Linked DNA regions of Callithrix jacchus. The protein of the gene in region 2 interacts with the protein of the main gene of each other region in a pairwise test. Links are inferred from orthologs where the notes say so. Each region holds a gene or a part of one and is shown on either strand. Other genes may lie near its edges.

Region 1 (3,746 bases), on a different chromosome or scaffold from region 2:
CAGTTGCTACTTCCCCACACAGGAGCCAGTCGGTTACGGCAGCACTTTTATTTTTCTTCACACAATGACGTGTTGCTGGGGCCTAATGTTCTCACATAACAGTAGAAAACCGAAATTTGTTGTCATCTCTTTCAAGATTTGACAGTTGTGTACAATAAAAAAAAAACCTTACATAAATTAAAAGGATGAATACATTTACAGGTGTAAATGAAAACCGCTTCCAACTCAAGGCAAGTAACAGCCCATGGTGCTCTGGCAGGAAAACATCAGGTAAGAAAGGAGACCGGGTCCTATGGCTTGGACTTTCCCACCCTGACAGACTGGCAGCCCTTGCCAGCCTCTAGAGCAATCCCAGAACACTAAGCTCTGACACATGAATACCCTGCTCAACTAAGAGACTGCTGGCCATGCACTCACCAAGGCAGACTTGTCTGCCCCCAAGCACATTTTTACCTCAGCCACGAAGTGACCAAGCCACATGTACTAAAAGTTGAAATCTGCTATGTACAGGGTATTAAACAAATAAGGGGAACAATTAACTTGAATACAAGGTCAAAATCAGCAACAAGTTCTACAATCCAGTGCTGATATCAGATACAAGCTTCAAGGACAATTTCTTTTCAAAGGCTTATTCCAGTTTCATGAGGCTAGCATGAGGTGTATGCATTTGCCAGGGGCAAATTTATACTTCCGAATTAACCCATGCAGCAAATGCTACGCATCTGCTCGCAGTCCATTTAGAAGCATTTGCGGTGGACGATGGAGGGGCCAGACTCATCGTACTCCTGCTTGCTAATCCACATCTGTTGGAAGGTGGACAGTGAGGCCAGGATGGAGCCGCCGATCCACACGGAGTACTTACGCTCTGGGGGTGCAATGATCTGCAAAGACAGCCAGGCATGGCTTGAGTTCACACAGCATCCCCAGCCAGGCATCCTGAGCCAGGCCGAGGGCCACCGATCCCTTAACTCACCTTGATCTTCATGGTGCTGGGCGCAAGAGCAGTGATCTCCTTCTGCATCCTGTCGGCGATGCCTGGGTACATGGTGGTGCCGCCAGACAGCACAGTGTTGGCGTACAGGTCTTTGCGGATGTCCACATCACACTTCATGATGGAGTTGAAGGTGGTCTCATGGATGCCACAAGATTCCATGCCTAGGGGACAAAGCCCTCCCTTAGTGGTGCTATGGTGCCCAGAATCAAAGCGCTCTCAGAAGCCCTTAGACTGAACACCTACCAAGAAAAGAAGGCTGGAACAGCGCCTCCGGACACCGGAACCGCTCGTTACCAATGGTGATGACCTGGCCGTCAGGCAGCTCATAGCTCTTCTCCAGAGAGGAGGAGGATGCAGCTGTGGCCATCTCCTGCTCGAAGTCCAGGGCGACATAGCACAGCTTCTCCTTGATGTCGCGTACGATCTCCCGCTCGGCCGTGGTGGTGAAGCTGTAGCCGCGCTCCGTGAGGATCTTCATGAGGTAGTCGGTCAGGTCCCGGCCAGCCAGGTCCAGACGCAGGATAGCGTGTGGAAGGGCATAGCCCTCATAAATGGGCACCGTGTGGGTTACCCCGTCTCCAGAGTCCATGACAATACCAGTGGTGCGCCCAGAGGCGTAGAGGGACAGCACGGCCTGGATAGCCACGTACATGGCTGGGGTGTTGAAGGTCTCAAACATGATCTGAAGGTAGAAGACGAGACGGCTTAGTCAGGGGCAAGGACCCGCGACCACCCCATGCTCACACGCCACAACATGCTGCATGCCAGTGTGATGTGTGGAGAACAGAAAAGAACGCAGGCAGAAACCAAATAAGAAACCTGGAGGCTTCAGGGAGGAAATGCCGGGAGAGGAACAGAGCCTGGAACAGCGAAAGAAACACTTAAATGTCAGAAATCAAGCTGGGCAGAAAATGACTAGGAAAACGGACGAGAGCACGGGCATCGCCGAGCCTCACCTGAGTCATCTTCTCTCTGTTGGCCTTGGGGTTCAGGGGGGCCTCGGTCAGCAGCACGGGGTGCTCCTCCGGGGCCACACGCAACTCATTGTAAAAAGTGTGGTGCCAGATTTTCTCCATATCATCCCAATTGGTGACGATGCCGTGCTCGATGGGGTACTTCAGGGTCAGGATGCCGCGCTTGCTCTGGGCCTCGTCGCCCACGTAGGAGTCCTTCTGGCCCATGCCGACCATCACGCCCTGCAGGGAGTTGCCATCAGGCTCGCCGCGGCCCCCGATCCCATCCCGCAGCGCAGAACCCAGGAGCCCCGTGGCGCCCTCCACTCACCTGGTGCCGAGGGCGCCCGACAATGGAGGGAAACACGGCTCGGGGGGCGTCGTCCCCAGCAAAGCCAGCTTTGCACATGCCGGAACCATTGTCGATGACGAGCGCAGCAATTTCTTCTTCCATTGCGACCTGCCAGGAAAGCGACGGACTCAGGCGGGGCCCGCTGGAAAACAACCCCGCCACCCAGAGCCAACCAAGACCCTCCGGCGGAGGAGCGTTACGCTCCACCCCAACCCCGGAAGCCGAAGCCTCCAACACCACAACAGCTTTGAACCAGCACCCGTGCCTTTTACGTAAAGCCCACCGCCCCGAACTCCGCACTGCGGCCGGGCCCCGCCCTAAACCTACGGCATCCGCCCAACGGTACCCGCGTGGCCCACCCAGGCGGAGCCAGCCTTTTGTTCCCGAAAACGACGCGGCGAAGCGTCCGCGGCGGAAAGCGGGGCCCGCGGGGGTCGAGGGGGGACGGCCAGAAACATCCTCCTCGGGTCCGATGAGGAGCGCTTACCAGCAGAGGAGCAGGGGAGCGGAGCAGCAAGAGAACACCGTACGCGACCTGGCAGCGGCGACTGAGACCGACTGGGGCCTCCCGCGCCGCTTTTTAAGAGAAAGCAGCGCGCCCGCGCGGCCCGGCGGCGCGCGCGGCCCCAGAACATGTCCATATATGGCGATCTTTCCGAAAGCCGGGCGCTCATTGGCCCGCCCGGCCTGGTCACGTGGGGCCCCGGTCCGCCCCGCCCCCAGCCCGCACCACCTCCCACCGGCACCGCCTGCGCCACCCCCGCGCGCTCGCGACACTGGGGCTGGCGAGGGGGGCTGGGTGGGGTCTCCCTCCCGGGGTCGCTCGGAAGGCCGAAGGGCTGACGGGCCTGGCTGCGACCCGGGACTGCCGTGTGGGGAGGGCCGGGCTGCGCCCCGAAACTGCCTGACCCGGGGCGGGGCCATGCGGGAGCTGGGGTGGGTCCCCGCGGTCCGGGCCACGCTGCGGGGCTTTGCTCCCCGGGACGTCCCCTGCGGGCTTTCCCTTCGGGCTCCACGCCCGGGCCGGGCTGGGGGAGGGGCGCGGCGGGGATCCCCGGCGCTCGGCGTTTCTAGGTGCGGGGGAGCCCTCACCTCGCCCCGGTCACCATAGGAAGAAGCCTCCCGTCCCCGAACGCAGCCACTACCCCACAGGTCCCTCCACGGGGCGCCCCGCCCCGGGTCTCCGTGGGTTTGGAGCCCGATACCCCTTTCTACCCGAGCCGACACATCCCTGTCCCTGAAATCACAGGCCCGGTTTGCCCCAGGCGCAGGCTCCGGGTAGGGGCTATCCCGCCCCCTATCTGCTGAGTAGGCGGTGCGCAGCGAGGCCTTTGTTTCATGCTGCTCACCTGTAGACATTATAGGGAAACTGAGGTAGAGACCATAATCTTGACTTTCTTGAAGGTCGGCTCCCCAGTCTGGGGAGGCCGCGGGGAATCCCCTCCCT
Region 2 (3,746 bases):
TTCTTCCTGCCTGCTTCACAAATAAAATCAATTCGAGGAGACCTCGGCATTGCAGTGAAGAAAGAGTTTAATTGATGTGAGGCTGGCCAGGCCATGTGGGAGATGGAGTTATTACTCAAATCAGTCTCATCCAAGGCTAGTAGCTTAGGGGTTTTTCAAAGGCAGTTTGGTGGGCAGGAGCTAGGTTATGGGAAGTGCTGACTGGCTGGGTTGGAGACGAACTCCTAGGGGGTCAAAGGAAGCTGCCTCTTGTACTGACTTGTGTGTGGGCAGGGCCACAGGAGCAGTTGACTGGTCCAGGAGGAGCCATCAGTGTCAGGCATGCAAAAAATCTGAAACGATATCTCAAAGGGCCAAACTTAGGTTCTACAATAGTAATGTTATCTGCAGGAGTAAATGGGGAAGTTGTCTATCTGGTGGCCTCCGGAATAATGGCTGGCAATGGTCTATGTCTACACCTTAACAAACAGAAGTCAGGCTCTGCTATCCTCCTAGCCTGGTGGTCTCTCATTTAGCTTTACAAAGGCAGTTGAGTTTTGGGAAAGGGCCATTATCATTTAAACTATAAACTAAGTGTCTCCCAAAGTTAACTTAGCCCAAGCTCAGGAATAATTAAGGGTAGCTAAAGGCAAGATAGGGGTTGGTTAAATCAGATCTCTCCCACTGTCATAATTTTCTCACTGTTAGAATTTTTGCGAAGTCTGTTTCATCAGTACCCTACTCATTTAGGTGAAATAAACAATGGGTATTTTATGTGTTCCGATGAGTATCAGTATCACATAACTGTCAGGGCCCCAGGTATCTGTCCCTGTTCAGAAGGATCATGAAGATGAATACTGCGATGCGGACAGCTTGCCCGACTCAGTGAACTCAGAACTTGTCCTCAGTAGCCGGCTCCTGTGGGCCAGGGATTGCAAACTTCGACTTGCCGGCAGTGACACCTGTTTTCCATCATTCTCCTTGCGGTACTTTGTAGCAGGAGCAGCGTGGGAGTCAACAAAGAGAAAGCACAAGCGTCTGTGGAGCGCGGGGTGGAGTCTCGGGAGAGGAGGACCTGGGTGGGAAGAGGCGCGGCAGGAGGCGGTGCCCCGGCTCGCATTGGCTAAGCCCGCGTCCCTCCCCTCGGGGCTGCTGGCGCGCCCGGAAAAGTGGCTTCGCCTGAAGGCGAGAGGCAGAGGTACCCTCGGTGACAGAGGAAACATGGCCGAGTATACGCGGCACAACGCCTTGGCGCTGATCCGCTTCCGAAACCCGCCGGTCAACGTGATCAGGTAACCGGCTCCGTCGCCTCCAGCCCTGGGACCGTGGGGGCCTTATCCGCCCGCGGCTCTGGAGGCTTTGACTGTCCCCGGCTGGTTTAAACGGAGAAAGACACTGACAGTTGAGCAACTGGTATATGCCAGGAGCCTGCCTGCTTTCCCTCCTTCCTTCCTTCCCTCCCTCCCTCTCTCCTTTCTTTCTCTCTCTCCTTACTTCCCTCCTTTCCTCCCCGCCTCCCTCCCTCCTTCCTTCCCTCGCTCCCTCTCTCACTTTCTCTTTCCTTCCTTCTTTCCCTCCTTCCCTCCCTCTTTCTCTCATCTCTCTCTCTCTCCCCTTCCTTCCTTCCCTCCCTCCTTCCCTCCTTGCTTCCTTCCTTCCTTCTTTCCTTCACTCCCTCTCTTCTTTCTTTCTCTCTCTCCTTCCTTCCCTCCCTCTTTCTCTCCTTTCTCTCTCTCTCTCTTTCTTTCCTTCTCCTAGATTAGCTTGGTTAATCTTTGCAGAGAACTCTCGTCCCCATTTTCCTGGTAAGGAAACAGAGGCTGAGACACATGCTAACTTAGGGAGCTGGCGTTGCCCTGTCCGTCCTGGGAACCCTTCTGCTTACTTGCAGCTTTGGCGTCTCTAATGCAAAGGTCTTAACTTAGTTGCATTTTGGACTTTGATCCAGCCTCACTCCCCAACTTTGAGTCCAGGCTGCCCTTACCATGTTTGGCTAAAAGCTTTAGGAATTGGGCAATAAAATGTTTTAACATTAAAAAAAAAAAATGAAGTCCCACTAATGCCAAGGTAGTGATTAAAGCAGAATTGTGCCCTGACTCACAAACGCAAAATTATTTCTCCTGATTTGTTTAAACCTCAAGACTGGTGCTTCCGAGGAAGACTCACATCCAACTAAGCCTGTGTACCAGCAGTTTCTGAAAAACTGCACCTTGTCTTCTTTTTCTCACTGGGGAGTACTTGCCGTGTGTACTGCACTTAAAACATTACTTTAAAAAGTGAGATCAGCCTGGCATGGTGGCTCATGCCTGTAATCCTTGCACTTTGGGAGGCTGAGGCGGGTGGATCACCTAAGGTCAGTAGTCCGAGACCAGCCTGGCCAACATGGTGAAACATCATCTTCACTAAAGATACAAAAATTAGCTGGATGTGGCGGTGCATGCCTATGGTCCCAGCTACTTGGGGCTGGGACTATAGGCTGAAGCAGGAGAATAGCTTGAACCCAGGAAGCAGAGGTTGCAGTGAGCAGAGATCCTGCGCTAATGCACTCTAGCGTGGGCGACAAAAGTGAGACTCCGCCTCAAAAAAAAAAGTGAGATCAGTGTTGTCGTTTTGAATAGTAATGAATTTATTTGGTCCTTCTGCATCTCTTTAAAAAAGTAGTTATACATCAGCCTTGAAAAAAGAATTACCTATCTACAGGGAATAGGATTAGTGGAAATTATAATTTACCAAGAATATATATGGCATAGAGAGAAATGTCTTTGGTCAAAATTCTTATGTGCTGTTGGAGCAAAAAGATTGAAATGAGAAGATCTGCTGATTTTAATAGAATTTAAAAATCTTACTGTCATCAGATTTATCATTAGAATTTTTATTTCGGTATGATTTATTGCATTTAGTAATATGCCAAAAAAATGCAGCACTAAAATCACATAAGGATGACATGTCTACTAACTTGGCATTCCCAGAATAAAAAGCAAAATATCTGTTATGTTGATTTTAACAAAGAAAAATGTAAGTAATATGATTACATGTCCATTTTGGACTGGTCTGTATACTGATTAGAATTGCTAGATGTTAGGACCTTAGGGGGAAAGTTCCATCCTCTAACACCCATGACTAGGCATATTTTCTGGCAACTGTTTTAAATGCTTCTGGAATTTAACCTGTTCTCCCTGCCCACCCATGCCACCACCTGTGCCACCCCCATCCCTTTTTGCAGGAGAAATGTTAGTGTCTACCTCATAAAGTTATAAAGTTTAAATCAGCTGGAAATTGTAAACTGGCATTTAATGGATGTCAGCTATCATTCGTATTAGTCAGAAGACCTATTCAAGCCCTTACCAACAGGCCTTGCTACCCAGGCTCCACTTCAGTTTCATCAGGAAGATTTTCTCCATTTGGAAATAAGGACTTCTCTGCCCTTTTTCATCTGTTTTTTGAACTTTTTTTTAAAGTGGAAATGTACATCCTTGCAGTTCCTCAAGTTTAACAGATTCCTCAATTTTTTTATTTCACTTTTCTTTCCTTCCTCCCTTGCTTCCTTTCTCCTTCCTATTTCTAATTCTATATGGGAAGTCATCTCTTCCCAGCTCATTGAGAGATTCTTACTTGAGTATACACACATACACACACACAAACACACAAACATGTATATACATATATAAATTTTTCCCCCTGAAAAAATAGTTTAAATCCTTCATTGCTAGTTTAGCCAGCCATGTTTGCTTCCATTCAGATAAACACCAGCCCTCTTTATACATGTA
Region 3 (3,746 bases), on a different chromosome or scaffold from region 2:
ACTAAAGCTCTGTGGCTTTCTGTATAGTACTTAAAACCTCTCACTTTGTTTCCCAATCTATAAAATGGGAATGGAAAACCTATCAAACTTACAGTGTTGTTTGGGTTTTAATGAGTCAGTCCATGACAAGTGCCTAGTACAGTGCCAGGTATACATACAAACGTCCAGTGAAAAGTAACTATCAATCCTGGAGAAATTAAAGTTCAAAGACACTCAGATCAGACACTTAACCAAGATTTGACAGTGCAACTTGCAGAGCTAGGTCTTCTGACTGAAAAGCTCCTCTTTTCTAGTCAGTACATAAGACTGACACAGAAGAATCAACCAAAGTCCTTGAAGGCAGAACCAAGCCATATTGTGGTGGGAGGGGAAACCATTGGGAGTTAAGTACAGGGCATTTGGGTTTGACGCTGAATACTAGCAGTCATCTCTGTATTCTGCTTTTGAGCCTTTCCTTGTTCTTTGAAGCCCCCAGTTCTTTCCATCTCTAAGTGTTTCCGTCAAGGATAGACTTAAGACTCACCCGAAAGAAAAGGAGACTGCTGATAACGCCCTAGGGACCTGATCTGGCATCACCTGCTTTGCTCTATTTGAAAAAGCCACCATTCCCTGGTGGTCTTCACTGCATCTGCTCGGTATACAGGATCCTTCTCATTCTAACCCACCCCGGTGGCAGTAAGTGCTTAGATAAGCAAACACAGTTCACCAGTGCTATCAGGGTCTTTGGTGGATGAAGAGATTTTCCTTTTCCCAGCTCCCCTTACTTCCTTTCCGCCCCCCACTAAACTCCCATCTTCTCTCTGTACTTCTCTCACCTTATACTCCTGCACCACCTCCTCCAATGGCACCACGCTGTGTTGTTTGTGGCTCCTGGATTCTCGGCACACCACACAGATGGCCTCTTCGTCTACCTCGCAGAAGAGCTTCAGAGCTTCTTGGTGTTTGGGACAGATGCCTTGATCGGTTACACGACTCCCTCGACCAGGGTTTGGGTGCATCTGCCGAATCACCTGGACCATATTGGCCAGTTGCAGGTTGGGGCGGAAGCTCCGCCGAGGAAAGCTCTTTCGGCATTGGGGGCATGTGAAGCACCTCCGAGGGGCGGGAGGTGGGGGTAGTGGGGTGACGGGGTCTAGCTCCTCTTCTTCATCCTCCTCCAGCACTTCCTCCTCGTCCTCCTCATCCTCCCCCCTCAGGTCTTCCTCCATGTCCCCCAAGTAGTAGTCCAGGTCTTCCTCCTCATCCTCCTCCTCCCACACGTAGTCCATATTGTCCCAGCTGGACCTGCCCATGCCACTGGTCCAAAACACACCCTCTTCTTCCTCCTCGACCTCCTCCTCCATGTCACCCTCGTAGTCTTCATCCCGCATGGGGGTATCCCACCCTGCACCAGCCCCCACAGCCTCCACTTCCTCTTCCTCTCCGTCTTCCTCCTCCTCCTCCCGATCTAACTCATCCCTGTCCTCCTCATCCTCCCCACCCCACAACTGGGTTACACACACTCGGCAGAAGTTGTGCCCGCAGCCGATGGACACGGGGTCCGTGAAGTAATCGAGGCAGATGGCGCACACCGCCTCCTCCTGAAGGGTCTGCACAGGGTTGGGTGTCATGGCAACGGCAGCCATCTTAGTGTCCAGCCAGCCAGTGTAGAGGTGCGGTGGGGGGCAGGGGGCGGGGGTCTTCCTCCACCGACGCCAGGGCGACCCGGCCCCACCCCCAGCCCTGCCCCTCCACACCTTGCTCCAAGAGCAGCCAGAGAGATGTCCTCCAGACAACCCACACCGCCGCACAGAGTTCCCTACTCCCGAACGACAACCGTGTCTCAGCGAGGGGAGGGGAGGGGAGGGATGGGGACCGAACTGGGCGCCACCTTCAAGTCCCTCAGGTGGCTCTGGGTGCAAATCTGTCCCAATGCTCCCTTGGACTCCTCATAAACCCCCGCCCCTCCTCACTTCCTGGCCCCGCCCCTAGCTTCCGGCCTCCTTCCAAACACTTCCGGCGTCGACACACCACCTAAGTTCGCGACTTTCCTCCGCTGTCGTGCTACTCCCCCTTTTTCCCCCTGGGGCCCCAGGACGACAGGAAACGGCGAGGAGACGCTCTAGCCCGCATTCGAGAACAGGGCGGGAGGGCTAGGACGGTGGAGGCCCACGTCTCTGTGGTGCGGGGCCAGGGCGAAAGCAGAGAGAACAGAGGAACCGCCTACCCCCATCCCCGGCCGCTGGGGAGAAACTTCTGGGGGAGGAGGGAGCGCTTGGTGGCCGTCTGCCTTCGGTGCTATGACAGCATCGGCCTGGCGCCATCCTACCCACCCGGCACAGTCGACTGCTGCCGGTACTCCCAACAACCGATGCCGGAAGCGAAGGGGTGGGTCCGCGGAGCGCTCTGACGTACTTCCGGCCCTTCTAGGCAGACGACTTTGTGGTGGAGGACTCAGAGGATCGTCCGGGTCTGACTTGGGGGCGGGGCCTGAGAAAGCGCGGCGAGGGTTGGGATGCAGTCGCCCCACCCTTCCAACTGTATTCTGCATTCCGCATCCACGGTAGAAATTGCAAACCCAACGCTGTCTCATGGTTTAGATGAATTTCCCTAACTGCCCAGCAATAAAGAAGTGGTGACGAATCATTACATCTACATTCTCACAGCATCTCTGCAAAAATAGATGCTTTGTGCAGTCGAAATAATATTTGTTGCTTAGATAGCTTTTTAAATTTTATTTTTTCGAGACAAAGTCATGCTCCGTCGCCCAGGCTGGAGTGCAGTGGCACGATCTCGGCTCACTGCAACCCCCGCCTCCCGGGTTCAAGCGATTTTTCTGCCTCAGCCTCCCAAGTAGCTGGTATTACAGGCACGTGCCACTGCGACCGATTACTTTTTGTACTCTAAGTAGAGATGGGGATTTCACCATTTTGGCCAGGCTGGTCTTGAACTTTGTACCTCGTGATCCGCCCACCTCGGCCTCCCAAAGTGCTGGGCTTACAGGCGTGAGCCACCGCGCCCGGACTTAAGTTTTTTTTATTTTTTTTAATTTTTTTATTTTTTAGACAGAGTTTCGCTCTTGTTACCCAGGTTAGAGTGCAATGGCGCGATCTCGACTCACCGCCAACCTCCGCCTCCTGGGTTGAGGCAATTCTCCTGCCTCAGCCTCCTGAGTAGCTGGGATTACAGGCACGCGCCACCATGCCCAACTAATTTTTTGTATTTTTAGTAGAGATGGGGTTTCATCATGTTGACCAGGATGGCCTGGATCTCTTGACCTCGTGATCCACCGCCTCGGCCTCCCAAAGTGCTGGGATTACAGGAGTGAGCCACCGCGCCTGGCCTAAGTTTTATTTTTATAGCGACTGTTGATGTCAGTAGTATATAAATAAATAAATAAATAAATAAATATTGGCCATGATTTATGTACAGAATCTCCAGTGAGTGTCGGACACGGTGTGACGCCAGGGCTGGGCCTGCAGAACTTACTCGGCTCTCAAGGCGGCTCGCGGGAAAACTCCAGATGGGTGTCGTGCTTCCTACGGGGGTGGTCCGGCCTCTGAGGATGTCAGATCAAACGTACCAAAACCACAAACCCTCGTGGGTGAACTATGCTAGGCCATGCCAGGAGCTGCGTACTCTGCTGCAGTAGAAAAGTACGGCCCCAGAACTGGGACACCACCGCTCAGCTGGCCGCGGCACGGGTCCCTGGTCCTGTCCTACAAGGGCGCGGTCCTCTCCCTCTCCCGGCCTTCGCAGTCACGTCT

The links.
Region 1: the proteins of EHHADH (region 2) and ACTG1 interact in binary tests that used the Homo sapiens proteins (3 or more experiments, as listed by UniProt). The two-hybrid records come from large-scale screens. The link is inferred for Callithrix jacchus from reciprocal best matches to the Homo sapiens genes EHHADH and ACTG1.
Region 3: the proteins of EHHADH (region 2) and TRIM41 interact in binary tests that used the Homo sapiens proteins (3 or more experiments, as listed by UniProt). The two-hybrid records come from large-scale screens. The link is inferred for Callithrix jacchus from reciprocal best matches to the Homo sapiens genes EHHADH and TRIM41.

The regions. Positions count from the first base shown.
Region 1 is NC_133506.1:137,174,438-137,178,183, forward strand, and holds ACTG1 (actin, cytoplasmic 2), read right to left. Parts: upstream 2,856-3,746; 5' UTR 2,787-2,855; intron 2,408-2,786; 5' UTR 2,402-2,407; coding exon 2,279-2,401; intron 2,191-2,278; coding exon 1,951-2,190; intron 1,677-1,950; coding exon 1,238-1,676; intron 1,156-1,237; coding exon 974-1,155; intron 882-973; coding exon 738-881; 3' UTR 34-737; downstream 1-33. UniProt on the Homo sapiens protein: Actins are highly conserved proteins that are involved in various types of cell motility and are ubiquitously expressed in all eukaryotic cells.
Region 2 is NC_133516.1:14,236,138-14,239,883, reverse strand, and holds the start of EHHADH (peroxisomal bifunctional enzyme), read left to right. Parts: upstream 1-1,173; 5' UTR 1,174-1,200; coding exon 1,201-1,271; intron 1,272-3,746. UniProt on the Homo sapiens protein: Peroxisomal trifunctional enzyme possessing 2-enoyl-CoA hydratase, 3-hydroxyacyl-CoA dehydrogenase, and delta 3, delta 2-enoyl-CoA isomerase activities. Catalyzes two of the four reactions of the long chain fatty acids peroxisomal beta-oxidation pathway.
Region 3 is NC_133503.1:73,626,944-73,630,689, forward strand, and holds the start of TRIM41 (E3 ubiquitin-protein ligase TRIM41), read right to left. Parts: upstream 2,343-3,746; 5' UTR 1,626-2,342; coding exon 816-1,625; intron 1-815.